Lepisosteus oculatus: one gene and its partners. The main gene of each other region encodes a partner of the protein of the gene in region 2 in a complex. Links are inferred from orthologs where the notes say so. Each region holds a gene or a part of one and is shown on either strand. Other genes may lie near its edges.

Region 1 (10,155 bases), on a different chromosome or scaffold from region 2:
ACCATCTTCAAACATGCGGCTGGGTAGCTTATTTTACACACCCAACCTTTTGAGCACAGAAGTGCTTCCTGGTGTCAGTTTTAAATGTACTTCCCTATAAAAACAAATGATTTAAATAGTGAAGAGAATTTCACTGAATTTAACCTGAGAATTTCTCATAAGTTTAACCTGCTTAATTTGTGCATTTTTAATAATAATAATAATAATTGCTTACACTTATATAGCGCTTTTCTGGACACTCCACTCAAAGCGCTTTACAGGTAATGGGGACTCCCCTCCACCACCACCAATGTGCAGCCCCACCTGGATGATGCGACAGCAGCCATAGTGCGCCAGAACGCTCCCCACACATCAGCTCTCAGTGGGGAGGAGAGCAGAGTGATGTAGCCAATTCATAGAGGGGGATTATTAGGAGGCCATGATTAGTAAGGGCCAATTGGAAATTTTGGCCAGGACACCGGGGTTACACCCCTACTCTTTTTTTTGCACTTTGCTACACTGTAAGAACTTGGAACAAAGTACATAGAGAAGGAGAAATAAAGCATGAGATGCTTAGGTTAGAACACATGTTTCCATGTATAATTTTGTCTCTTTCTGCCTTTCAGTGTTATTCAGGAACGGCAACAGAGTTAACTAAGAATCTTACAATCTAAATATATGCAAAGATGAGTTTGATTTAGTTATCTTTCAATAAGTATTTTAAAAGGTGTAAAAACAATTACCAAACTTTTCTAAAATTAGACCTTAGAATCTAAGATCATCCCAGGGAGTCATGTATGTGTGTATCACTTATTTTGCTTCAAGGGGGTAGGCAAACAAGTTCAAATATATCTGTGAGTTGAAACAGCCGTCAATTGCAAGTGAAAACATTCTTTAAAATACACATCCTTGAGGACACACGGTCAGAAAACACTTGTAAAACAATCTAACCATGAGACTGGTCTGTGAGATTTCGATTGACTAAACTACCACCTATCCCACTTGTTATATGACTGCAGGAAAGCGTTTAAAGGAATGTTCACTTCAAAGAGAGTTGGCAAAATTTTGGCCTTAGCATTTCACAACCGACCTAGAAATGATTGATGAAGATAACACAGGCAGAAGGCTTCCAGTCACACCTATAACACAAAGTCTTCCAACAGCATTTTCTCCTTTCCGATTTCATTTTTTTTTTTACTCTTGGCAGCAAGCAATTCCTTCAGAGATATCACTTCGTAAACAGCTGTGATTTGGAAACTGGAAAGAATGCGATTGGACCGCTAAAACATATTTTTCTCACCCTTTTGCCCAGTAAAATTTAATCAAATCACTCCCCTAATAACTGCACAGCATGTCTTTTCTGTGTTTTCTATAAAGTACTGTTTTCAACCGCAACCCAGACCTGTAGGTTAAGTCGCTATTGATAAAGAAAAACGAGGGGACTTTTTTTTACTGCCTACTGACTTGACTAAGGACACTGCGGAGCTTTTAAGCACTGTGGAAACCAAAAAGGGGAAGTAATGAGTCAAATTGGTTATTTTGTAACCTAATTAGCTAATGGGTTAAAAACACTTAAAAAAATAAATGTGCATACAAATAGCTAGGAAAAAGGAACAGGTGTTAAGGAATAAAATTGTAATGGAATTGACGTTCTCATTAAGCAAAACACAAAACAGGTTCTTAAATCGACCAAAGTTGTAACAATGTCAACAGGAGAGCAACAACAGTTGCAATGCGTTTTTAATCCGCCTTTTAATGTTTCATTTCTTACGACATTTGGAGGAGCTCTTAAATGCAAATCCTTTAATGATCCCAATCGCATAATGAAGACAGACCAATGCTTGTCCTTTTTACACGACGTGCTCACACTGTCTTCATTTCGTTGTTGTTGTTTTTTTGTTTATGATAATGACAGTGGGAACAAAAGCCTACTTGCAAGGGGGGGAATTGAAGTTTTTGCCATCTGGAAAATGAGAAGTGGAAAGAAGGGATATGCGTTCATATTCCTGCTATGACCGTAACTCATGGATGAAATTTCCTCAAGAACGGACACCACAGAGAGGGCTAAGCAAATGGGCCGAGTCCGCTGTATTACACTAGTCTGAATTGCGAAGACTGTGCTATTTCAGTGAAGTACGACGTTAAACCACGTAAAATAAAGTATTTTTCACCACTTTGGCGACACACTACGTTCCAGCAATTACATTTGTTTGGCTAGTCATAAAATGGAGAATTACTATACAAACTATGGTGTTAGGGAGAGCAAGTTACAACTAAATAAATGGGCAACATTTGGGGGAAAAAAATCTCTTTTCTGGACTGAAACCCCATCTCCCCTCTCTCTTTCCTGAGCAAGAACGTATGTGCCAACAGACAACAAAAGCTCAGCGATTTTTTTAAGCTTTTTATTATAATTTAAAAAAAACTCCAACCGAACCTTCTCTATACTTAGATATTTAGCGACTTTCTTGGTGTACGTATGCGCCCATAAAGACTAGAAACGACGCGTGTACGTTTTTAAAAAAAACGTGTACAACAATATTAAAACGCTACCAAAATATTCTTTAAATGTGAACGATTCACGTTGCTAATCTTACACGGGGCGTACGGGTTTAAAGCTTTTTGAACTCCACACGACCTCAACTCGGTGCGAGATAATCTTGGTCCTGAAATATCTTGTGCATTTTACTGGATAAAGTTACATTTGCTCCGCGGGAAAGGGAAGCCTAAATTCGGACTTCAGGTCCTATCACACTGCGTTTCATTTTTATTTTGTCCACGATGCTTTAAATCAAAACGTGTCGTTCGCCTTTTTTTTTTTTAAATAGCCTAACCTGGTCCGAGTTTTTCCCCCAATACTGTGGTTTTTTTTTTTCCACCCCAGACCACCACCTGTTCGGGTTTTTTTTCCCGAACCGAATCCGGAGGCCAAGGTCGTCTAAGCACCTTCGCTCATCCTCCACGGCCCTTGTTCACCTTTTCCCGGGCCACGTTAACGACCAAGGCTCCCGATGGTACCGACAACAACAAACCACGGCGGCTATCTGTCGAGATCACGACCACGGCAAGCGAGGCGCGGTGATCGTTTGCAAACTTGAGATGGCACCCATACCCCCCGACACGGCAAGCATGCGGCCACTGAAACGGGGCAGAAACTCGGATGGCGAGCTGGCTGCGTCTTTCACCATCCTTACCCACGGGTGCCGATCAACTGGATCATTGATAACTCGGTGCTGGGGGGGGGGGGGGGGGTTCAGTTTTTTTTTTCCTCCTTCAATTGTAAGCCTCTCGCATCGTCATCAGCCCCAGTGACCACCGTCCGTCCATATTGCACCCGACCCCATTCACATTCACGTCAGCTACACGTGTGCTTTCACTGTGGGGGCAAACTGACCCCCTCCAGAAAGACATACAGAACAGATTTTAATTTTAAATCCCCTTTCGCACGCAGGGAGGTTGTGCGAGGGTTTAAAACGTCCCCCCCGTTGTTTTAAGACGTCATGCCCCCCCCCATCCGAAACCGAGCGCGACGCTCAATCCGCAGGAGGAGGAGAGAAAAAAAAATTGAACTGGACAAACTCGCACAGAAAACGGGCGAAAAGCGACCCACGGGTGGCGTCATTACGGGTACAAAACACGCACACGAGAACGAGCCAAAAAGCCCATCAGAGGGCGATGGTACCGTGCACCCTCCTGCTTATAAATCAGCAACTAAAAAAAAAGGGCTCTTATGCGCAAAACTAAAGCGCCGGTCGGGGGCAGGACCTGTGATTTTGTGTTTTAACTCAATTTCCACAAGTTGGAGAGACTTCATGCCCCCGCCGATGCCATCGAGCCGGCGAAGGGAGGGCAGATCACCTAACTGTAGCGGGCTCGCCTTTCCTGTTGAATTTGTGGGGTGTGTTCCCCTCCCCCGTGAAGTTTCACCGACCTGTCTTCCGAGTCCATGCGGCTCAGCGGCTCCCCGTCCGACGATGACATCTCCACGCTGGCCCTCCGCTTCTTGGCGGCCCCGTGTTCGCTCTCCCCGCTGCCGTTTTTCTCCGGGGCATCCTCGCCTTTGCTCTTGTTGCAGTCGCTGGAGCCGGACTCGCTCTCCTCCCTTTGTCCGGGCTTCAGCTCCTTCTCCGCGCCGTCCCCGGGGTCGCTGCTGCTCGCCGGGCTCCGCTGCTCCGAGCTCTCCTCGCCCGCGGCGCTCTCGCAGCTCATCTCCTCATCCTCCTCCTCGTCTTCCTCCTCGTCCCCGGGCGCCCCTGATGCTTCGGCTGCCCTGGCTGCAGACGAGGGTTTCACGTCCACACCTCCTCCTTCTCCTTCTTCTTCTTCGTCGTCGTCGTCTTCCCTGTCCCGGTTGCCGTTCGTTTCTTCCATTTTCACCGCCTGCCCGTCACCCGGCTCTTGTCCCGGCAGCGGCAGGCCTCGCATCTGGTCCTCGGTCTCTCCTGTCGGCGGCGCCCCGTTCTCGTTGCTAGGTGATGGGGAATCTTGCTCGGCGCTATCGGTGGAAGCGGCAGCCATCTTTGCGAGAAATGTCTGTTTTTTTTCCCCCCCCTGCGTCTGTCTCTGCTATTCACACACACACATAACAGAGAGTGCAGTAGATCCACAGGAGGTTGAAACAGGGACGGTGGAGGAGGAGGTGGTCAGTGACGTCATGACACATGTTCACGTTCATTCAAAACGCCAACACGTGCTCTGGAAAGTACTACAAGCTTCGTTTTGCACCAAGGGTGCGTAGACATCTGGACCTTGCACAGGTTGTAGGCACGCTTTTCGTTTCTTTAAAACTCTTTTGGGCGTTATGCGTTTGAAAGGTTATTCCAAAACAGAAAAGGCCACTACTTATATGGTTATTTTAGTGATTGCAGAAGAGCTTGATTGTACCAGTGCTTTCATTTTAACAGAGCTATGACTAATCTTCCAATTAATGCTTTTAGGCTTTTAGGAACCTGTGCTTTTTTTTTTTGACTGCTGTCTACTTAACATTATTGAGAAAGTAAAAGAAGCCCTGAAAAAAAGCAAACTACCTTATTCATTTAAAGTTTTCAACTGAGACTAGATTAGATGTTTTTATTTTAAAATGTGTTTTCTTTGGATGATTCCGTTCTTCTCACCGATAGTTGTGTTTGTGTATAAGAGTTTGCTTTTGATGTAAAAAACATAATCAAACGGTAATTAATCAAAACAACTTATTCCCCAGTTTAAAATGTTACAGCTTTTCAGGGTGATTTTCTTAAGTGTCTTCTACCTACTTTTCAAACTTAAGTATATTATTTTTTTAAGATGTTAACCGCGTTTGGTTGAAAAGGTCAGTAACAATGTTGAATTTTGTGGTGTAACATTTGCCTGTTAGAACATCCAGCAATGACTGAGTGTCAATTCAGAATCGGCAAAGACTATTTACTGTACCTGAACAGCAGTGCATTGTGGTACTTTGAGTCATAGTTCTTTCAGTATCCCACAGTGACTTCCAACACGGAGCATCAGGAGGATCAGTGCTCATGGCATGAGCAAAAGTACCTTTCTTATTAAGTCTTCAATTAACGGTATGGGTTCCTGTGGTTTTAAGTCTAACCCAGAAACACAGGGTTTAAAGCAGAACAAACTCTAGGCTGGATGTCATTCAATCTCAAGGCATTCCTACACTCCCCAGCAAAACATGAGAAGTGCTCCTCAGTGCCCCCTCCTGATAATGTTACAGGGGAGCATGACAGTGGCCAGGAAGAGCCTCCTGCTCTTGCAGAAATGTCCAGTGTCCCCATGGCAGCAGCTAAGTGCATGTCACACAACAGAACTCGAAACGACTTCTAGTCGGAGAGCAAGTCAAATTTAACGACTGCAGTTGCTAAATCTCACTGCCTTTGCTGTCCTAGAGGGTGTCAAACTATACGACTAGGAATCGCAGGGTGTGACTAATTACACGATTCCCTCATGACTTTTCGTCGCGGTTCCAAATCTCGCACTGCGCTGTGAAAGTACCACGGGGCTGCCTCGTTTTGGTAGCCAATCAACGTGGAGCACACCGGAATAAGAGGAGGAGCACCGCACGAAAGCTAAGAACAAACACGAAATATCAAACAGACATCTGTGCTGGCTCCAGAGTTCGACGAGCCTCTCCTCCATTTGCACAGTCCAAAACACTCGCTTTCCTTCTTTCCTTGCAGCTGCATAATTCTTCACTGTTTGTGGGCGTTGTCTGCATTGTACTTCTGGTTGAGCACTCATTGGCTGTGACTGTCACAGACACAAGAGCCCGCCCCTACTTGTGACTTGCAACTGGCTACGAGAAAAACAAACCTGTTTGATATCGTAGGAGTCGCGGAGTGTCGTAGGGGCTATAACTGAGTCGCTTGGGGTGTCACACTACATACCTGACGGAAACGGGCATGCACTGCGACTCTCTCCAACTCGCTGTGATTTTCTTACGATCATGTAAATGAAGGCTACGACTGAAAATCCTAGTAAAAGTCGTGTAGTGTGATGTAGCCAACCCAAAGTGCCTCGGGTTCAGTTTCATGGACTACCGGCAACAGCATTTCCTCAGCACTCGCAGGATGACCAGTGGGCAGTGCCTCTCCTTGCGTCTGCAGGTAGTGATGACGATGTGTCACAGGGTGCGACGAGTCTCTCTACTTGAGAGAGCCCAGCTCGCGTCACAGCCCCTCTGTGTTCAACGCTAAGCCCAGGACAGGGGTGCTGACAGTGGCGGCTGGCCCCAACAACTCCTTCTGGGCTTCTGCCTGCTCTCAGGACCCATGTGCAGGACCTTCCAAGTTCAGGTGCTGAACTCCAGAGCGATGCTCCGCTTCAAAGTCATGAAGTCAAGACTGGACCACCTGTCCTTCAGGCTTCTGGAAGCTGAAGCCTCATCTGGTTTGGCAGATGCTCTGGTCCCTGGGGAGGCAAGTCCAGCTGAAGCCCTGGATGAGGGCATAGAGTGGTCTTCTCACATCAGACTCGACTTCCCAGCTTGTGCTGAGGAGACCTCCTCAGCCTTCCTCTTCTGCGAGGCTCCTGAGGTGCTGCTGGGGCCATGTTCAAGCTATAGAGTTAGTGTGCTCCCCTGTCTGTCTGCTCCAGGGGTACCCATTCCTGATCTTGGAAGCCAACACACCTACATGTTTTCATTCTATTCAATCTCTTTACTTTATTCAAGCCTTAGTTGATCTATTGATGTGCTTGTTTGGAACGTTTGCAAACGTTTGAGTGGCTTGTGAAATGCAGAAGTTAAAGCAAAACAGTTTGAGTGAATCATATTATTAAATCAATAAAGGGTTCAACTATGTAACTGAGGACTTGGCAGAAACAAAATCCAGGTGTGTAGACCTCCCAGGATCAGTTCTGGGAACTGCTGGTCTGCACTACCAGTATGTGAAATTGGTGGTCATCTGCTTCTGGGAGGGCTGGCAGCTGAACCTCCGGTTGTTCCTGAGCCCATCATGAATGGCAGTTGTCCTTCACCTCAGTCCAATGTCTGCCCAGCATCTGCATTCTCCTCTCTCCCCTATAGGCAGAGTCCGTGGATTTATCATTGACAAGGCAGAAACAACATAAATGAGTGTCTTGCATTGCAGGCCCCCAAAGATGCACTGGAAATCTATACAGTGTAAATCTAGACAGTGCAGGCTATTTTCCTCACTGCCTTACGCCACCTATAATATTTCTACAGTCTTTCAGCTGTGGGATTGGCTGGGATGTTAAGCCGACCAGCCCTCGCCTCAGGTGCCCTGTTCGCGCTCTCCTGCGTCTACTTGGCAGGGTGGCAAAACTGCCACTGGAGACGGCCATTCTGTCCACTCCTCCAGCATCTGCTCCCCAGACTGTCTTGTGATTGCCTCATGGCATGGCCTTGCTGTCTGCTGCTTCCTGTGTCTCAGCTGACCAGAACTCGGGGGGAGTGCTTTGTTCGGCCTGTTCTGAAACGATGACCCAGACTTGAACAGCATACGCTTCACCCAGACTGGTGATCTCAGAAAGGGCGACTTGCTGACGAAATCCAACCAGTCCCAGTCCCCCGAGGAATGCGCCAAACACCGGCACCTCGTTTCTGCCTCCGTTCCGGGATCACTCTGCTTCAACAAGTGCTGCAGGTTTGCTACAAGGGATCTCAGGCTCCACACCTCCAGCCTCCTCCACCCGGCCGGCCTCTGGCAATATTTTCTCAAGAGGTGCTCAAGTGTGGCGAGTAGAAGCTGATAACAGAAGGCCTGTTCTCTGTCTAGATCCACAAGGATCTGCTGTGCCCGGCCCTGTCATGCTGACAGTGCCTCGGCTCGAGGATCATTGCCGGGCTGGGGTCCCTCGCTGCCTCCTCCTCTATCTTCCTGGGCACTGGAGGCTGTCGTCCACAGTGCCCCGGCACTTCTCTGTGCCAGACAGGAGAAAAAGCCGCATCATTCCTCCCACTTCTCTGGTGCCGATGTAGTACTCCTCCCTGCTGTTTGCAAAGGCTTGATGCTCACTCTGCAGCTCTGCCTTGTTGCAGTTCTCACCACACCCTCCTAGGGTGCCGAGACCACCACCCCCCCTCCCCCAAATACCGATGACCCCTGTGAGGAGCCACCTCCCACACACACTGCCCTTAGCTGCTTTGCATGCTGGTACACATGCATATTTAAGAAGAACCCATACACACAGGACAAGCACCACAGTGCTAACAGATCAATAACTTGAAGTGTTTGCCACAGTTCCTGGCAGGCCCTTATGCAAACATGCTGTGGAGCTCCAGGGCATCACAGCTCCACAGCTCTATCTCTTGGCACACGGCCAATACAATATACTGTAATTCGACATGAGGGAGGGGTATCAGGGCGACACACACTGATATCCTCTGTTCCGAAGTGCTGTTTCTTGAGTAAACCTTTTTAATTGCCACATGGTCAGAGCACATCAACATCTGTGCCATAAATTTCATGACTAGGTTCAGATATGCTTCCCTGATTTAGAAAATTGTTTTATGATTGAACTGATGAATGTATGTGTCAGAATTATTTGTTTCCTACATCCTAAAAAGTAAGATGAAATCTGTACTGCACAAGAATATGTAAAAATCCAATGTGTCGTGGAGTTGTAAGATTTTTCTCTTCAGCTACCCTGGGGTAGAGGAAAGTGGAGTTCAAAGAAATATAATTGAACTCTCTTCTGCTGGTCCCTGCTGACTGATTTTCATTGGCATGAAAACCAATCTGCAATTTTCGTCTAAGAGCTGGTGCTTAACAGAAATAAAAGGCTTATTAAAAAGGGACAAGTTCCTGGCTTAGCTGGTCTGAGCCCCAGTCTGTAAGACTGGGTAAGAAATCAGTCTTCAGCTCTCACCACTAGGAGGTGCAGTGATTCTTCTCAGAACCTTGGTCTGGCTCTGTTATTTATTTTAATGGTGGGGATATAAAGGCAGTGCCTGTTCTAAAAACACACTGCTTGCTGTCTCCTCTCAGCTTTAAAGCTGGGTTTCAGTGATTTTTCCACTCTGTTGCCGTGGAAGAAAAAGGCTCTCATTAGACAGCTACTTCAGAAAGATCTTGTTCTTTCATGAGAAACAGTAGCCCCTGTACTGTCACTGCAGTCCAACGTAGTAGTAAAATCTGTTTTTTTTCTACCCTAAATAAATGATGTAATATATATATGTGTGGACAAGAAAATAGTTATTAATTTAAAAGAAAAGTCAGGTAGAAGTGTATGGGCTTTTTTTCACAGGCAATAGTAGTAGTTACAGCTGATTGCAGGAATTCATGCTCAGCCATGAATTCTCGACAACCTCATTTTTAAAATTAAATGGATATACATTAAAATACATTACTGGTACAGTTCATGACAAATATAGTCTCCCTTTTGGGAATTGTGAAGGTGTTGACTCATTTTGAAGGATAAATCCTGCCTCCTTCCTATTCCTGGTGACCAGCCTGAATGCTGGATATACTATAAGAAGAAAGGAAAGATGTGAAATAAAACAGTTATTGTTCAGTTACATTAGATAAACAGGCAGCGTGAATCCAAGATAAGTCATTGTTATCTAAGAGGATTCTGGGGCATAGTCCACACGGATGTAGAAAAGGAAGATTTTGTTAAATCCGTGAAGCACTCCTTGAATGGGCGACAGTAATGGAATCAGACAGACCAAATGATATTTTATATTTAGATATGCAAAAGGTTAATCACAGCCATTCATTGCAAGATTGA
Region 2 (9,596 bases):
AAAACTTCACAGGGATGCTGAACAGAACAACAGCGGGGAAGGAAAAACCCTTCAGGAGATGTATCTGGTACACCTGATGTCTGCCGTCATGTCACCCAGGTCCGGACTCATATCGACACAGGTCGATCCCGTCACTAACCCAGGTGTCCGAAACGCCCTCTGTTGGGTTTTTGAAGTGGAGAACAAAAGTGGCTCACATTTATAAGGCATCACACTGTATTTTTGCAGGCTGACTCCATCACAAGGAACTGGAGAAATTATTTTAGAGTAAATCCTGTGGGAAAGCAATGGGTTAACTAGCTTGCTAAAACAGGTGTACATTCAGACCCTTCATATCTCACTTGCTGCACCAACCCCAGACATCACCACGCAAAAAATACAATATTTAAACAATAGTAAGTTCTGATAGGTTTAACAGGCTACTGGTACTCGGTTCTCTGCTTGACTGATACCATTTCCGTGTACAAAAGAGGAAGGTCACAAAATTGCAATCTCAACTTGACAGGGCTGGGAATTAAGCACGTATTATATCATATTGATAAGTTACCATATTCAGTTATCAAAAGTCAGGATCAAATCTTACTGCTGTGGAATTTCCATTTATTTAATTGCTGTAAAGGAACATCTAAAAAACACTCCATGTCTCTAACCCAGATCTCAACATCTAGAGCTATTATCTAAATCACCGCACCAATCAAGCTTACCAATTAAAAGCACCACAAGTATTTCATCCATATCGGAGAAAGTTCGAGTCGTTCAAAACATCAGTTAGCCCCTTTATATCTCCAGGCTTTAAGTGGCTTCTGATTGTTCAAAACATTTTGGCATAAAACCAAAGAACGATCAGACTGTGTAACAGCCTGAAGAGCACACCGCCAGTGTCTTGTAAATACAGTGCAAGAATCGATCCAAGGGACAGGGACGAGGCACAGGACTCGTACGCGTACGTGCACCGTGTGCGCAAGCGTGTAACTGGCGATCTGATAATCACCTCACCAGCCTCCAACTCGAGCAGTGAGTTTTCCACTCCAGCAACACTACCTACAACCACAAGGAGGATTTCTGAAAAACTGATTTTAACTTAGGTAGTGCTCTTTTATTCGTAGTGCAAAATACCTCTTTGGTCAGAGTGCCGTTCTGGTTTATTTTTCACAAACCTATTATGCAAACTCATACTGTCTAACCAAGGTGCGTGAGCACGTCTTTCCAAGACTTTAGACCCAAACACATCCCCCATCCCCCCTCCGAAGGGACAGCACAGAGGGGACAGACAAATTCGCTTCTACATTGTAGTTAAAACGTGAGCTGTTCCTCAGTCATCACAACTCCAATCCTATTTTAGCCTGTATCATAACAGATGCAATCTGAAAAACTTCGGGACGATGTATACCTTCCAATAAAATACAGACCTCATTACGCTTCACAAAGAAAACGATGAACGATTGTCACTCGTCTTTTGTGCTTAAAGAAATCACCTGTTACAGCTTTACAACTCAGACGTCGAGTAAGTTCACATTTTAGCAAAACTCATGTTCCTACAATACTTAAAAATATGGAAAATGAGATTTTATTGCTTGATGCTGTATGTGATTATCGTTGCAATAAAAAAATGCCCGCACGAGCCAAACCATGACTTCATTCATAAGTATTAAAAGCCTCAGACAAATGATTTCCTCATGCTTGTAGCCCGTAGAGGTTTATTAAATTTGTGTTTATTTTGGGGAGAAGTTTTTAAATGGACAGCACACGACTACAAATGCCATACTACAAGGAAATTTGCTTGAAACGCTGAGCCACAAACAACTCTCTCCCGATTGCCAATAAACCATGATCATACCTCCTCAATATTACTAGTGAGGAATATGTAGTTCTCCATATGCCAACATTTGCAACAAAAAAAGCCACGCAAACGCCAACGCGACACCGGAAAATGTGATCTGTCCCCAGACCCAGCGAAATTGATAGGATTGACCTGTTGCTTTAAACGTAGTCTGTACAGACGTCTGAAAAGCAGAAAAAAAACCGAGAGGCCATGCTGTCTGCCCTGAAGAGTTAGCGTCGTGGCTCAAGAAAAAAAAATAAAGAAACGCTCTCGGGCCACAGCTAAGTAATGAACGGAACGTGTGACTTCAGTGAACTCCAAAAACCTTGGCTACTTTCCTGCAGTACCTCATGATGGTTACATTTATACTACTGACAAAAGAAGTGGCCCTATAAGAAAACATAAATAGGGGGGAATAAAAGTGAAGTATTTTCAGAATATAGTACCCCCAAACCCACACAGAATCCTGACTTAAGTCCAGAAAGTTAGGGGTTAAAATGCTAAATAAGGTTACAGAAATGTGCCTAGCAACTCGACACGAGAAACCCCTTTGTTATTAATTTTTTAGCATTAACTCGCCCCCAACCTTCTACTTCGTCCGAAAAAAATATAACTACAGGACGTCGTGCCAAGGATTTGCTTCCGACACTCCTAGTGATTGAGCCCAAGGTTTATATTATCCGTAGTTTTTATTCTTCCTTGCAAAGATAAAATGGTTGCTGTTCTCTCGCACAACATGAACCTCTGCAATGCGACTGGAATTACTGCCTTCTTAAAACGATCCCCAGTATGTCACCTTTGCGCCTTAATCAAAGCTACTGTTACATCGCGGCGTGTTTTTAACGCGGATCTCTTAAAACGATTAAACCCAAATCCCCTCCGTGCTTCACGAAATTTACCAAGAAACCCTGAAATAATCGTGGCAGCCAGCCCCGGCTGCGGCGACTGCTCACAACCACTCAGAGGTCACACGGAGAAAACGTGCAAAACGAAACAAAAACAACTCGCACAGTGCATTTCCACAACCATAAAACCGGTTTGCAAATCGCCGGGAACAGAAACATGGGGATTCACGGCTGCGAAGTTTGCAGTGTTGCCACACGGCAGCCAGGGAATTTAAAGGCAAAACGCAAAACGGGCCTTTTTTTCCCCCAGTCTCGGCGATGAAATTAAAGATCAAACAGCCCCTGCCCGTGTGTGCGTGCTCCAGTCTACTGGCCTTGACTTCTGCAAACGTGGTCCTCGCTAATCGCAACTAAAAAAATCACCTACAACTCTCCGGTAATGCTCCCACCCTTGAGCACATCTGTGAAACCACAGTAAATCGATGACAACATGATAGTTTATTAACAAATTGATAATGGCATCGGGCAATGCTAAACCCGGAAAGAGCCAGAGGCAACCTACAGCTATGGCTGTCTGTGCACGGCTCAAAATTACGAGAATATGAGGAACAAACAAAGCCATTCCAGATGGCAATTGCTGGGAAAATAAATGTTATTGTAGGTAACGCCGCGCCTGATTATTAAAATCATCTAAACAAATACAACGCTGTAATGTGATCCCCCTACGAGGCTGCCTTATTTGCACGGTAGACCCAGCCACCGGAGAACCCGAAATGAACTCCCCCTTTGCAAATAAAAACATTTTACCTAGAAACCAGGGCTGGGAACGTTTCTACATAACTAAAAACGTGCAAAACGCCAGCGGACTCAATCCAATCGGCCCGAGATCAAAGTTCTCAATGCATTTTAATCACAACAAGCGGAGAGGACATGGAAACTTGTTAAGGTCAATTTAAAACCCCACACTGCCTCGCACAGCAGCAGAAAAAAAATGAACTTACATATTTCTTTTGAATAATATTCCTCTTGGGTCGTTCCTTGCTCATTCTGCGATCCAAGTCGTGTTTGCTAAACAGAGAATTGCCACATGAATTTTTCCCTTTCCTCGTTTATGCTTTTTCTTGAAGAACACGCCAAAGACTATTTAAATCCCCGGTACGCAGATCTGGGGAGTACGTATTTATTCCTTGTCGTTGCCTTCACGGAGCAGGGACTCGCCTCGATTTGATAGTAAATCCCAAGTTAGAAATCCACGACGCAGGAAAAACAATCACAGAAAAAGGGGGCTCCGATATAACGTACTCATAATAATTCACGATATCTTCCATTCGTAAGCAAAAAAAATAGGACGTCATCCGCTCTCCCCGAGTGTCGCGAAATTAAGAAGCGTATTCTAGTGGGCGTTTGCGTACTGCTGGAAGCTACATCTTGTTCGGGGAGGGGATTTAAAGATAAGAAAATAAATAAAAGGTTCGCAGTCACGTTTCGGCTGGAGCTCGCAGACGAGATGACTGAACTCTCCAGCAGCACTGCTAATCTGCACTGAGCAATGCTCTTTCTTCCTCGGCCTCAGCCTATCGCAGCCCAGCGCAGCGCAGCGGTAACTTTAAAAGGCTTCGCTCATTAGGGACCGGGTACAAATCATGAACCGACTTCGTTCTTCGAAGCACAATTTTCCCTGCCACCGGCTCTGGGCTCTGTGTATGTACAGAGGGGAGGAATCTGCATATTTAAAAGCACACATGTATACATATACAAACACACTGCCGTTGCTGTACCTTACAAGCATGATATAATGGTTATTGGTGGCCAAGATGCATTTTTACGGCTTGGTGTATGAAGTTAAAGCCAGACGTAGACCTCTCAGTAATGAAAGTAGCGCCCCCTGTGTTCTGTTTACTTAATAAACTCGAGAGGAATGTTATTAACCTGATTTAGTTACACACCTCACTGTATTCTCTTTTCGTTTTAGGGAACTCTTGTAAACCGTGAACAGCGGCGTTGTAAGTTAGGCTTTATTTTCGTTAGTACGGCTGTCTGACCTATCTTTTTTTTAAAGTGTGGATTCATGAACCTTTAGACTTGCTTAAAAAGATTGTATCAATGGTGCATAACTCCAGCCCACCTCAGAACCCAGATGGGAAGTCTGCAGGTAATCCAACAAAGATAAGGTTAAAAATAAAAAAAAATACAATTAAATGATCGCGTTTCCCCTTAAATCGTTTACGAGCAGAATACTGTATGATCGATCCAAGACTTTCAAACTCGTTATCTCAATTTAATCATTTAATTCCAAGTCCGACATGAATCACAAGGACCAGGAGGAACGTCGGCAGCCGTTCGTGGGTTAAAAGAGTAGAGTGCTTGACATACTGTACGCCCTCCCTCATGAAGATTCTAATCACAAGTATACCCAGCACATGATACAATTAAACCATGCAATGCACAGCAGCAGACAGTAATGTAATTTTTCTCTGTCTGTCACTGGAGAGAACGAGTTCCACAGACCTAGACAATTATTCAAGAAAGGGCGTTGAGTATTACAGCAAAACTCAATTACAGAGTAAGACCAGTTACAAACGCGAGGAGACATTATCTAGTTTGTTTGGTTGCTAGTAGCTGTAACTGATCCAAGGATCTCATTCCCATCAGAGAATCCGGGGCACTGGCTTCGACAATGTGAATGGGTTGTTCCACACCCCCACTGCCCTTTGTGGAAAGAAGTACCTACTGTTCTCAGTTTTAAATGTACCTCCCTGTGTCCACAGGTTCATGTTTCACCGTTCATTCTGAAGAAGTTCACTAAGTTGAGCCCTTGAGGATACTGATTACTTGAATAAGGTCCCCTCATAGTCTCCTCTGTTCAGGACAAAAGGGGTCTGTTCCTTAAGTTTGTCAGTGTAGAACTGTCCTTCAAGACAGTTGTATCTGGTTGCTGTTCTCTGGACTGATTGCAGAGCAGCGAGATCTTTTTTAAAGTTAGTGACCTAAATTTTTAAATGAGGTCTTACTAGATTGCTCAATTTTAGAACAACATCTACTGATTTAAATTCTACAATGTAACTTCTAACATTCTGTTTAACTTCGTTATTGCTTCCATACTAAAATGAAGGGAAGACATTTGTTCATTCTAGATCAAAATCGAGGCTACTAATAAAAAATCAAGAAGAACAGTGGTCCTAGTACAGATTCCTGTGGAACACCACTAATAACTTTACCCCAGTTTGATCTGTCTATGTCCGAGGTAACAATTACAAAGGTGTGTCACGTTGACAAGGCAATAATTTAAAAAATATATATATAATATCAAAATCATAATAATAACAATATACAAAATGTTGTTGGGACCAGAGTTCATGCCTTTACTGTGGGAGTTCTGGAGATCAACGTATTCACATTCATTTTGGGGTCTACAACCCCAAACCAGTCCTTTTTCTAGTAAGTCGTAAGCATCACCCACAAATTACTCCTTTTTTTAACAATTAGGTGCAAGAGTAAGATATTGATCAATTAAGCAAGCAAGCCACTCAATTAAGGGAAGAGTTACAACAGAGAACTGAAGGGTATTCAGAATCGTGTTGTCAGTGATTTGTAAATAAGTAAATTTGACAAAGCACTTGCTTAAATGATCATAATTCAGTTCTTCCAAATGATACAAAACCTGTGTTTTAGTGGTTACCCACTCTTCCTTCTGGATCTTAAGGGTCTTTCCAAGGCCAGGGCTAGGAGGAGACCCCTGGTATTGAAGATGAGCAATGATGGTCTGTGCTTGGTGTACATGACCCGTGTGCTCAGTCCGAATACATCTAGCCTGACTGCACCAGCAGGATGTTGCTGTTGATCCAATCAATCAGTGTAATCAAGACCGATTTGCGACTGTCTCTTTACACATACGTGTTATCATTGTAGTTTTGGATAACACCCCTTAGCTTAAAGTGCCTACCAGAGTGATTCCAGCTTTCTTTTTTGATGTAACTCTGCTTAGCGGAGTGGGTGCAGCCTGGCCACGGGGACAAGTCAGTCAGAACTCCTCATGCAGAGCTGCAGACATGGAGCAGAACTGAGCATCAGCATCAGGAAGCTGCATGAGTTTGGAGCTGCCTTCTCTCCAAAATATTAGGTCCTAAAATCCATATTTTGAAGTAGGATATGATCTGAAGTTGGATATTTGCTTCTGCACATCTACAGCTATGACAACACTTTATGCTTTTTTGATTTGGGGGCAAACTGGTGTTACACTCAGTACTAGAAACTCAAGTGAAAACCTACAATTCTTTAAAGAATATGTATCCTTTATTTGGTGAAACTGTTGGCTACAATACCTTGCAGGTTGGCAACCCTGCCAAAACAGTGCATATCATTATCAGTAATGGGGATGGAGTGGTAGTAAAGAGACCTTTAAAACTATAGAAATGATGCCTTTAAAATGAGTTGATAAAATTAAAAACTGCTACTTCTCTTGCAATCCTATTATTATTACACCTGTGCTTAATCACTGGCATTAGCGCCCAGTTCCGGGGTGTCAGTGTAACTTGGAATGGGGAGCTTAGATGGACCAGACACCAGAAGACACAGGCCCCTCCAGGAACTGAGTTTGAGACCCCTTATCTAATATATTACAGGTGGTGCCCCCTAGGATGCAGATGATAGTGTATGTTGATGGGTTAATAATAATTCTTTACACTTATATAGTGCTTTTCTGGACAGCTATCAGTGGGGAGGAGAAAAGAGTTATGACGCCAGTTCATAGATGGGGATTATTAGGAGGCCATTATTGGTAAAGGCCAGGCGGAAATTTGGCCAGGACACTGGGGTAATACCCTTACTCTTTTCAAAAGACATCCTGGGATGTTTAATGACCACAGAGAGTCAGGACCTCTCTTTTAAGTCTCATATGAAGGATGGTGCCTTTTCTACAGTATAGTGTCCCCATTACTATACTGAAACATGATGACCTACACAGGCTGCAGGGTGAGCACCCCCTACTGGCCCCACTAACACAATTTCCAGCAGCAACCTTTTTGCCAGGAGGTCTCCCATCCAGGTACTGACCAGGTTCTCCCCTGCTTAGGGCCTCACTCTGTTGCCACTTGTGAGTTGTGAGTTTCAGGGTGATACAGCTGTTGAGGTGTTCCTCAATGAATGGTAAAGCTTCTACTTTGTGTCTTGTACTTGTTTTGTGTGCTTTGCTGAAAGGCGTAAAGGGTGTACCATTCCGCTATACAGGCCTATTTAAATTGTTTTCTTGTCAGACATATCACACCAATGGGTATCACACAGGAGAAGAGCTTCGATAAAAGAAAACTATTGGATCTCTTAATTCAGTTCTCTTAATTGAAACAGAGAGAATCAGGTACTGCAAAGCTGATTAACAACACTGGACAGCCCGACACATTTGATTCTAATTGCACTTCAGTGTCCAGTTCTTTTCCTTTTGCCCACCATCCTCCTCTCAAGTTCACGGCATAGGTCACAGTGTGGGTTTTCTCTACATCAGCTTTGTTTTTCATTTCATGCCGTAATGTTTTTAGGAATTGCTTTTTTCAGTTTGGCAAACATTCAGTTTGCATTATTCTCAGTGCCTGACAGCGCAACATGCCTGTGAATTTAAAGAAAAGGCCGATGCCAAGACACCACTTGTACACAAAGGTGGACTGAATTTTCTGTTTTTATTCATGATCATTAACAAGGGGGGGTGCTGGGAAGCTAGTAGCAATGAGATGTTTCTTCAGTAAGAAATCTAAACTAATCTTAATTCACTTGGAGAAAGCAAAATAGCCTAACAGTAGAGCTGTACACTTCACTTTCTGTAGGAGAACGATTGACAACCTGTAAATGGGTATAACACACTAAATAACATTACAATGTAACAAAACAATTATCTGGACATACATTTTTTATTTAATTATGAATGCTTTAAGACTAAATGCTTTTTTATCTACTTATAATGGAAGGTGAAAAACTTGGAACACAAATGATTAGCAAGTTTGAAGCCGTGACTGTCACACATACTTCATCTTTTAAATACTTCAGCAATGAAAGAAAATTGATGTTATTGTCTTTAGTACTGATAGCAACATATATATTAACACAAATAGTAGTTTAATAGTTCAGTATGAGCAGGAAATGTCTCTGTATGTTGTTCTAATAACAAAAAAAGCAAACTCTAATTTAAGCTTATGTTGCATTTTAATTTATTGCTTTTTTTATTTTAACAAATAAAACATTTACAAACATAGCTTTCAAACTTAAATGAGAGTGTGTTCCAGAAGTTTCCCTCATTCCTGAGTATGACATGGAAAAATATGAAAACAATTCCCCTCCTCCAACACAGGGTCTCAGGAACCATTACTAAAATTAAATAATTACAGTACTATATTTCAGCATTCACAATGTTCATTTTTATTCATGCCTTGAAATACCTAGACAATACATTTTGTAAATTTATTCCTTTTATGTGGTTTGCAGTCTGTTGGTAGTTTCACAAAGACTAAGGAGATTTGTGGAAATTTAAATTTCATGGAAGCTTCCTGAATTCGCCATGATTGGCACTAGGTATTAAGGGAGGCTGAACACAGAAGTGAAAGTCTCATTAGCAGACCCAAAAGGAAGCTGTTGTAAGTTAAGTTTTACCAAAATGTGCTGTTGGCTCCAAGGGCAAAACCTAGGGAACAGTCTTTATCAGGCTACCACGCCTCCAAGACTCCTTATGACCGGGGGTTCTGCAACAGAATTCTATCAATATGTAGAAGCAACTAACTCACTCCCAAGACAAACGATACCAAATTATGCGGTTGGATAAATCGCAAACTACATATCTGGACAGTTGTACCAGAGTTCTAATTAGGAGGGAAAAGTGAAGCTCATGTTGAAAAAGAATGTCATGACCAGGAAAGAACAGAAATCTGTTACACTCTAGGGCTGTTTTG
Region 3 (9,984 bases), on a different chromosome or scaffold from region 2:
ATCCCAAAGGAGAAGCCACGCTCTGCCTCGTGTGGTGTAAAGGCTGAGCGAGCTCGCTGCGGGGACGGCCGCCACCCACCTTGATGCACTGCATGGTGATGTGATTGATGACGCGGATGATGCCCCTTGACCCCGCCACCGCAAGAAGGGGGTGACTCGTGCTGGTGTCGAACGTCCAGGCGCACGTGTAGAAATTCTCATCAGCCTGGTCGGCACCGCAGGTTAAGGACCCAAGCGCTCATGCTTAACGGGCACCCTCGTGATTAACATCGCCCACCCTCCCCCCCCGGCCGTTTTTAATCAAGTCTCTTCGATTCTGACACAAAAGGGGGGATTCACCTTTTTTTCCCCCCGAGGAGCTGCTGGTTGTTGGTCTGTTTTAACCTGAAGACAAAGCAATCCCCCCCCAAAAAAAAAACGCATTTCTGTTTTAGAAGAAGATCTAGCGCCAGGCACTGCTGCAGGAACGCAGATTTGACAGCAGAGGAAGCTTTAGAGCCGCCCTGGTCCTCTGCTCACCACTGCCGAGAGCGTGGAGGCAGGACCAGAGGCTGCCGAGGAACCAGAGGCTCAGATCTCTTCAGTGCCCACACTTCTCTGAGTCACCAGCTCCACACAAGCTCTCCTGCCACTGGACGTAGGACTTCAATGTCAGCCTCAGGTGACAAGGGAAAGGATACATCAGCATCCACGTAGGACTGAAGCAGGCGGATCTCTCCTTGGGAATGGCATTCATACAGAGTAACCTGCAGAAAAAAACAAAAGCTCCACCTTACATTTACAGTGGACGTTAAACTGCTTCTCTTTTAACAGGTAAAAGTTTATTCCATGCTGAAAGGAAAAGAAAAGAGAATGTTTCAACTGTGAAACCTTCTTTTAACTTATACAAGCTATTTGTTGACTTTTTGTTACTGGTAGGTAAACACAGCCAATATATTTATAGAGTGAAAACAGTACCCGAGCTGAGTCATCTGCTTAATCACAGCTTTCACCGCAACTTCACACTAATTTGAATTATACTTGTTTGGTTGACATTGAAAAGCACTGCAGTATAAGATCACTTTACTGGCCATATACAATTTCTTGTATTAGGAATTTGTACCCGAACTTGCCCTCTATGAGACACACAAACAGGGAGAGAAGCTTGGGGTCAGAGCGCAGGGTCAGCCTTTTATACAGCACCCCTGGAGAAGTTGGGGTTAAGGGCCTTGCTCAGGGGCCCAACGGAGTAGGATTCCTCTGCCAGCTGCAGGATATGAACCAGCAACCTTCCAGCCACAGGCGCAGATCCTTAGCCATAGAGCCACCACACTGCCCCGTATGTTGATCACACCAGTTAATAATTCAGATCCTTATTCAGACCCTAGAAATATTCCCCACCAGCTTAAACATACTGTAACCATAGCCATGAAAGTGTCCTGCTGTTTGCACAGGTAACATAACTGGTGCAGGTACTTACCCTGTTGCTTCCCACTGTAGCGAAGACCAGGGGGTCTCCCTCCTTACTGTGCCAGTTAAACTGCACCCCAAACAGAGGCTGCCCATGGTCCTCCTGCGATTCAAAGCAATGGCACCATGAGGCGGGAGAGACAAGTGAAGACCAGCTCTCCAAATCAGGCAGACCACAGACTGGTGGCTCCTTTTATTCCGCCATTTTCAATTATCCTACTGCTCTCATTCTCAAGTGCCTTCCACCAGGAAAGCATGCATAATGGAAAGATGCTTGCTTGGTTATTCACATTCTGCACATTTTAAATATGTCCATTAAGCATCCCCTTTGCACTGCAGGCATTAAAAATTACAGTTTAGGGGAATTGTGAAAGCACAGCTCCATGTCACGTTCCAAAACACCAAGTGCATGTCGAACCTCTCTGAACTGTTAATACTATTAGTCCTGACACTTATATAGAACTTTTCTGGACACTCCACTTAAAGCTCTTTACACACCAGCTCTCAGTGGGCAGGAGAGCAGAGTGATGAAGCCAGTTCAGAGATGGGGATTATTAGGAGGCCATGATTGGTAAAGGCCTGGAGGAAATGTATCCAGGACACCAGGATTAACACCCCTACTCTTTTCGGGAAACGCCCTGGGATTTTTAATGACCACAGAGGTTCGGGACCTCGGTTTTCGTTTCATCCGAAACTGGGAAAAGACCAGTCCTCCTACTTCATACACTCACAAGCTAGTTCAGCACACTCCTGTGGCTACACTCACCTTGAGGCTGTTGACGCACTTGAAGGAGTATTTACACTTCTTGGATTTCCACTTGCCCTTGCCCCAGCTCTTCCTGCCGGGGGCATTGGGCGTGTTGGTGGGGGTGTCTGGGCGCTCGGTGTTGGTCCCACTCTCTATACTGATGGCATCGTCCTGCAACACAGACAGCACAGAGTGGCAGCGTCTTCCTTGGGGCACTTTCCGCCACACATCCAGCGTGGCACACTGATCATTTTAATGCCATGGAGTGGAAAAAAAATAAAACCAAATAAATAAAACCATCTGCAAGGGAGATTTGAGACTGATAACCCTCAGAAGACTGACTGTTGATCCTCACAATTAACTGCATTGTAATTTATGGGACTCTGCATACAATGGGACACTTTGAGACAGGGAAAGATTCCGAAAGCTGACCGGAAATTGAACTAAAAATGTACATTCAGCTTTGTAACCTGGGATGAAAACTGGTCTGTAATGCCCAAATTCAGGAAATGTGAAATCCCGATCGGCTGCTCCCTATTCCTGCCAAAAGACAGACTGAAAAGCTGAACAATTTCACTGATTTGTCTGATTGGTATTACACATGGCAAAGATGAGCGAGTTTACAAATTAACAAAGTTTAGTTTAAGAACAGGGTTAAAATCCTGCCCGGCTTCAAAGTCAACAGGAAGTCACTTGACCACCTTGTATTTATTTCAACCAAACGAGTGATTGATTCTTCTATTGCAGCACGCTAGAGAAACCTCATTCAGTACATTTTAAGTACGTTTTCCATTGATGCAATGGCAAACAAATACTCGAATCCAACCGGGTGTCGACCATTACATTAAAAAACGATGAAATATTCTAGAAAATATAATCCCAGTACCCATTTTAATCCTCTTGCACCTCAATAAGGGCAACTAGGTCTGAAGAAATTTCCAGCTCCCAGCACAAAAGCCACACTCAAATCCTGAATTAACCGTGTATGTTGATAAAATAAACAGCAATCATGTGATTTTTTTCGTACCCTGAGTTTGAAAACTCATCGGAATTTTCCGGGCCATTTTCAAGGCTGTTCTATGTAAAGAAAGACGAAAACGTCCTACAAGCTTATTCAACGTGCGGCTCCTTAACCTGTGTCTTCAACAGGAAGACCCTGCATTCACCCGTTCCTTGCTTTAAAATGCTACACATTTTCTAACACTGAAAACATCCGTCTTCGTTTTGAAGACCGTAACAGCTAAAAACGACACGAAATCCTCTATCACACGTACGGCTGAATGAAAACAGCACGTCAGCCCGACAACTGAATGCCCAGTCTCCTTCTCAGACTGTCAATGATGTCTCCGGGGAGCTCTGTCTCTACTGAGCGTCTCGCCATCTCGGCAGTGAGCGGTTCGTTTTGGTGACGTGTTTTAGAGACGAGTGATAAATTCTGTAGCGCTGCTGCAGTAAAGGTGTCCTTCACCCTTCAATTGACTGTTTCTTAAAACAACCGAAACGAAGTACTACAAAGAAAAAACACACACAAAACAAATGGTATTTTAAGCCACCGGTTTAAACGGTATTGGCATTGAAAAGCATTTTGAAGAAGGTCTGAAGTAACGAAGGTTTCGGCACGTTAACTGCTTTCTGACGACCTGTTTAGCAGGATTGTAACGTTATTTTCCAGGAGTGGTGACCGACCGCACGGGGAGACAACGGGCACCTTGAGGCTGGGCACCGCGAATCTCCCCTGTATCTCGCGTTAGAAGAAAAAAAACACATCGAACTAATATAAATAAGTTTGATCTGACGAGAAACATGAAACCCCCCAAAAAATATCAAATTTAGAGAATAAGAGCGCCGAACGAAGACAACTAGGAGCTTGTGTCTGCGGCCGCACGACGAACAGAATATTCCTGATGGAAATACCGTTCCGTTTCTACATCGCCGGGCAAAAATATAATTTCGTGCCAGGAGTAGCCAGCTCTGAACCGAGACTACAGCAGCAGCTGTAACGCCGCCAGCGCGGGTGAGCGGCTCACGCTGTTGCACAGAGATCGGGGCCTCTGCTGTGGTTCAGCAGTCACCCATTTTTACACCCAACTTTTTAGTCTAAAATCGAGACACGGGCGTCAAGGGGAACCTCACGCCGCCCGCATCCCCGACGCTGGAAGTCACCGCTCTCTCTAGAAGCGCTCAGCTCGGCCTTACGTTTTCATCCCCCGAAAGATCGGGGTTGCTGTTCTCGTCGCTGCTCAGTTTCTGCTTTTTCGACGGCATCTCGTTTCCCGCCTCGGCTTGGCTCTCAGACATCTTCCTTCATCTTCCTCTTCCTCTTCCTCCACTTCCCCCTCCCCCCCAGCGCGAGGCCACACCGCCGCAAACCGTTCGGCTCGAGCTGCAGACGCGCGCTGGAAATGGCCGAATCGCCCCGGAAAACTGCAGGCGCGCGCGCGCTCCTGGGGAGGGTGGTCGCTGGCGCGTGACGTCATAACCCCTCGCCGCCGCCGAGCGGAACGCGCGAGCCTACAGGGTTTTAAGGAATGTCCATCTTGACCTGCTGTTTTTTTTTTAAATCTGACCATTATTATATTTTTAACCTGTGTAGTCCCAACAATAAATGGAATACAGCCCGCCCAGTATGTCTGAACCAGAACAGACCACTTATCCAACAGATTTGCCACACTCCCGTAAAGTGATCATAACTGTCGCACTTTCCCCTCGGTTCCACGTTAGTGATATTAAAATGATTACTGCTACGTGACCCAAACTCTGTGCCTTTTCCTATTGATACACTTAAGAACATCAAGGTTTTATCACTATGAAATTCACACACGTGAGGGACGGTGACGTGCTGTAGATTTATTTTTATTTTCCGATAATTCTTTAAAATGAGAAACAAATGTACAAGATTCGCTGTACCGTTCAGGTGTGCGACACGGCAGCTGTGGTACTCGAAGAGCCGCGGGGAAAAGGGAGGCAGATAGATTTTCGATTTATTTTAGTATTTGTGATGTATCGCACCCAGATTAGTTGTTCTGTTTTAATTTGCCGTGTAAATGTTTTAAGGGGCACGTATTGTGTGGCAAGGACAGACAGCCGACAACATAATTTGTAATGTGTTTAGCGCCTCTCGGCAAATATGTACATAATTGCGTGTGCAGTGGTTGTATGCCTTGTGGAAAAAAAGTCAAGGAGCGCCACTGTGTCTGATATCTGATAAGCAGTTCGAGGCTTTACAGTTGTGAGAAAAAGTTTGTGAACCCTTAGGAATTATCTGGATTTCTGCATGAATGGCTCCTAAAATGAGATCTGGTCTTCATCTATCTAATATTTTTTTTTATTTATTTGTCTTATTTAACAACACACACAACATTTTACTTTGTCATATCTTCATTGAACAAATGGTTTAAACAATCAAGGTCATTATGTACAGCATATATCGAGAGCTTGTTCAATTTTGGTTGATACACTGTCAAAATAAAATATGACCATTCGGGGTAAAATAAGAAAAAACAGCGTGAAAAAAGATATTTTTTCTTAAGAACATGGTTAAAAAACAATCCAGCAACAATTGAATTGCGAAAAGTACAAGTAATAGGTTTAAGCAAAAACTTATGTTTATTCCATGCTGAAAAGAAAAAGAAAACTCAAAGCTCTTTACAGGTAATGGGGATCCCCTCCACCACCACCAGTGTGCAGCTCCACCTGGATGATAATAATAATTGCTTACACTCATATAGCGCTTTTCTGGACACTCCGCTCAAAGCACTTTACAGGTAATGGGGACTCCCCTCCACTACCACCAATGTGCAGCCCCACCTGGATGATGCGACGGCAGCCATAGTGCGCCAGAACACTCACCACACATCAGCTCTCAGTGGGGAGAAGAGCAGAGTAATGAAGCCAATTTACAGAGGGGGATTGTTAGGAGGCCATGATTGGTGAGGGCTGGGAAGTTCATGGTCTTCTGGGAAAACTGGCCCTGGTGTGATTGGTGGGATTTGACCCTGAACGGGTTGCAGTTCGAAAACAGAACAATTTGAGGAAAAGGCAGCCAGGTCAAATTGATCTTATTTTGCAGTCAGTTAGGGGTTCAGTTGTGTAGCCAAGAGCTGAGCTGGGACACAACCAGCAGGACCAGGACCGGGAATGTCTGACAGAAAAAAGAGCAGTCTGCCGATGTTCATGTCATGCCCATTTCTCCCTCTTGTGATTACACTTTCAGGTTAGAATTACAGTACATTTCAAACAAACAGTAATTCCAAATGTGAAGATCATTTAGAGAGCCAGTCATTTAATTGCTTACTTCTGTGTATATAATGTGCAGTTAGTGACTAGGTTTATGTTCTTAATTGGTTAAAATGTACAATTTTCTTGGATTGTCAAGTGATTGTAGTTTGTATATATTATTCCCTGAATCTGTTTGTCCACTGTGCATTTGCTTCATCTGGGATAAATCAAATGATTGCAGATGACAACTCACACAGAATAGTTTGAGAACAATAAGGATATTGACAGCTGTATTTTGAGAAACGGCCACCTAGTGGCGTTGTTCTCTTGCCCTTGAATAGCACCGTGAAATAATATCGTCAAAACTGTGCTCAACCAGAATAGTGCTTCATCATTAATCCTGTCAATAATGTCAGGAAAAAAAATTCCACCTCAGAAGCAAGTGTGATTTCTCAAAAGAGAAGGTAATTCATATAGAATAAGTATTGCTGAAAATATTCTCTGCCATCATAGCTTTCAGAATCAGGCTCTTCTGATCTTGTTCTGCCACCTATTTGGTAGTAGAAGGGGATTTTTTAATTGTGTTCTCGATTCTCAAACTATCATCATTCTTTAAAACTCTCTTTTATTGTCATTTCTTAAAGGTCTTAAAATAAAGGTTTGAGTGATCCAGAGATTTACAGTGCTGGTTTCTGAAAGATCCTGCTGTCGGTTCCCTAGGTTTAATCCTGCCTCATGCACAAATGTAGTTGTCCCGGCTAACAAATGTGGCTGCTGCCTATTGCTTTTAAATTGTGTTTGAAACTAATGTGCGAATTAGTTTCACATCTCAAGAACGTTTCATTTTAACACCCTTCTAGTAATGCCAGAAGTGTTATCTCTAAAAAAAAAACCCAATCGAAACTGTCACATTAATTCTACTATCTTTACATCTGCTGGTGATAAGCGAATACATGTCCAACTTGAAATACATTTTATCTGCTACCTTTGAAATTTAAATGTTAACCCCACTTAGTTTCCCTCCCTTATCCCTGAACCCCCAATGTTGTAGATGTATTTAGCAGAATGTCTGAGCTACTTAAATAGCACTTTTCTGGACACTCCACTCAAAGCGCTTTACAGGTAATGGGGAATGAATGATGCACCAGTACACTCTCCACACACCAGCTCTCAGTGTGGAGGAGAACAGAGTGATGAAGCCAGTTCAGAGATGGGGATTATTAGGAGGCCATTAGTGGTAAAGTCCAATGGGTAATTTGGCCAGGATGCCGGGGTAACACCCCTACTGTTTTCAAGAAACACCCTGGGATTTTTAATGACCACAGAGTCAGGACCTTGGTTTTACGTCTCATCCAAAGGACCTTAACCTTAAGACACAGAATTTACAAATCAGGAGTGATAAGGGAATGCGTTCTCTACTGAGAGCCCTGATAGGCTCTAGCCTTAGTCAATACTGCATGCACCACACAAATGCATACGATTGAAAATTCTGTAAGCCAAAATTCACCCAGACCTCGAGTCAGCAGCTGGTAGATACAAGCAAGTGTCAGCAACCTCAGTCACAGAGGTTGATTGTGCTGTGGACAGCACAAACCACGAGTACAAACTGCCCTATGGAACTCTTATTACATATTTCCATTAAGTGCTTAAAGGACAATCAGACAACCTTCTTTTTTGATGTAGGTGTGAGGCAGAAGAACTGTTTTTAGAATCAACTTCACCCTTGAAAAAGGCTCAACAGCTGAAATGTTTGAATTTCTTTCTATGTTTCAGCATGGAAGGACTCTTTACTCATTTCTTTGCAGGCAACGCACACTGATGCAGCTCCTTACTTGAACCTGTTTCCCCCCAGCATCCTTGATGTTTTACAGTGTCCTGCTCTCATGCAGGAATCTACCGTTTGGCTGGGAGGTACTACAATAATCGTAGACTTACTGTCTGTTTCTTTCTTTGTGCTGAAACACATGAAACACTATCATTTTTCTGGTGCACCAAAGGTTCTCTTTTGTTCCATTTATGCAAACACCCATGTAAATGGCACATAAACACTCTGGGGAAACTGATCTCTGAGGGACCTCTTACTTTGAAAAAAAAGAGGTAAAATAGTGTATTTGCAATAAGGACATTTTATGATTCCCTGAAGGAAGCCTGTTTATCTAGAACAGAAAACAGAAAAAAAACAGAAATAATAATAATGATGATGGAAAGTATAGACCACAACCTACACAAAATGTCTGTTCTAATGTTTACGGACTTGACATGACCTTTAAAATATTGTACCAGGAAGTATTTTATCAAAATCTTCTATCTTGCTCTCTAATCAAATACACTGTGTACACAAAGGTGTACTGAGTGTTTTAAAAAAATCTTAAAACAGTTTGACATCAGCTCTGTACTGCATTCTTCCATCTAATAACTTCAGGAAAAGTGACATTCCTTCATCGTCAAACTGCAAAGGAGTTGTCAGACTGCGCAAAGCTATTCAGCTCCAGATTGTTCCAAATCAAGCGTTGCATGTCAAAAGCTAAAATGGTTATGAGCTTTTTTTTTCACTTGTTCCTAATGTTGTTGCACTTACTTTAACACAAGCAATTGCTGTATATGCATAGCATCAAAAGCTATCTATACTGTATAAGCATTTGCTGTATGTGAGCATCAAATTAAATGCATTGGTCGTATCGGCAACAACTTCACTAAGTTATCAGGAAAATGACAAAGCTGGTTTTGTAGCAGGTGCACAGAGTTCTTATCGTACTTACAGGCCACAGCAGCTTCATTATACTGACTGACATTTGTCATCAGCGGATGGTTCACAGGGGTTCTACACAGGCTAGTGACACTTGGGGCTGCCACTGGGAGCACTGCACATTGTACCTATGTACATGACACAAGCTTTCAACCAAGTTTCAGATGCGAGGTTGTCGCGATTTGCCCCCTTCCTCTCAGAGAGCCCAGACAAACCCGGGCCTGTTCACTGGTCTCTGAGCGCCGGATTCCACACGTCTTCCCAGCTCATTCCCTCACCTGGGCTTCAGGCCTGACAGCAGGGGCATCCGTGGCGTAAATACCTCTCCGTCCTCTAACCGCTACGCCGGGCCCAAGGATGGAAAAAAGGGCGTGGCCAGATTAATCTCACCAGCGGTAGAGATTCTGGAGTTTATTGGATGAGGGGATGGTAATAATGTAATAAATGGAAATCGGAGGAGGAGTGGTGGACCACTGAGATGCGCAGGTGAAGCAGGCAGGAGAGGTGCGCAGGAGGGGGCAGATGGATCTGAGGTGGAGTGAGGAAGCGTTGATGGGTGATTAACAGTGGGAGCATCTGGAAACTGGAACTGGAGGACTGAAAATTGGAGGGGGGGGGGCATGATTTGAGGACCCAAGGGACCCGTAAGATCCACTATAGTTAAAGATTCAAATGTCTGAGCCTTGAGGAATGGTTCCCCAGGGTTTTAATAGTCTTTGAGGTTCCCTAATGAGGCTGATAAGCCTGGCCCTGACGAGCTCCTTCCACGTGTGGAAGGTGCTGTGGAACTTGATGGAATTGATGCAGGAGCGTCGGAGCTCAT

Evidence for each region. Proteins that work in one complex are often made in the same cells at the same time.
Region 1: the proteins of jarid2a (region 2) and aebp2 are in contact, whole or in part, in a cryo-EM structure (PDB 8VNZ), measured with the Homo sapiens proteins. The link is inferred for Lepisosteus oculatus from reciprocal best matches to the Homo sapiens genes JARID2 and AEBP2. Residues at the interface, in NP_004964.2 of Homo sapiens: Ser148, Lys151, Pro152, Lys153, Thr154, Glu155, Asp156, Leu158, Thr159; in NP_001107648.1 of Homo sapiens: Arg407, Ala410, Ile411, Asn414, Leu415, Glu420, Ser421.
Region 3: the proteins of jarid2a (region 2) and eed are in contact, whole or in part, in a cryo-EM structure (PDB 6C23), measured with the Homo sapiens proteins. The link is inferred for Lepisosteus oculatus from reciprocal best matches to the Homo sapiens genes JARID2 and EED. Residues at the interface, in NP_004964.2 of Homo sapiens: Pro109, Gln114, Arg115, Lys116, Phe117; in NP_003788.2 of Homo sapiens: Pro95, Phe97, Tyr148, Arg306, Asn307, Tyr308, Cys324, Asp362, Ile363, Trp364, Tyr365, Arg414, Asp430.

What each region holds. Positions count from the first base shown.
Region 1 is NC_090702.1:49,795,708-49,805,862, reverse strand, and holds the start of aebp2 (zinc finger protein AEBP2), read right to left. Parts: upstream 4,616-10,155; 5' UTR 4,498-4,615; coding exon 3,911-4,497; intron 1-3,910. UniProt on the Homo sapiens protein: Acts as an accessory subunit for the core Polycomb repressive complex 2 (PRC2), which mediates histone H3K27 (H3K27me3) trimethylation on chromatin leading to transcriptional repression of the affected target gene.
Region 2 is NC_090705.1:16,313,082-16,322,677, reverse strand, and holds the start of jarid2a (protein Jumonji), read right to left. Parts: upstream 4,238-9,596; 5' UTR 3,714-4,237; coding exon 3,669-3,713; intron 1-3,668.
Region 3 is NC_090710.1:28,192,464-28,202,447, reverse strand, and holds the start of eed (polycomb protein eed), read right to left. Parts: upstream 4,616-9,984; 5' UTR 4,496-4,615; coding exon 4,394-4,495; intron 2,369-4,393; coding exon 2,216-2,368; intron 1,553-2,215; coding exon 1,460-1,552; intron 747-1,459; coding exon 681-746; intron 206-680; coding exon 80-205; intron 1-79. UniProt on the Homo sapiens protein: Polycomb group (PcG) protein. Component of the PRC2/EED-EZH2 complex, which methylates 'Lys-9' and 'Lys-27' of histone H3, leading to transcriptional repression of the affected target gene.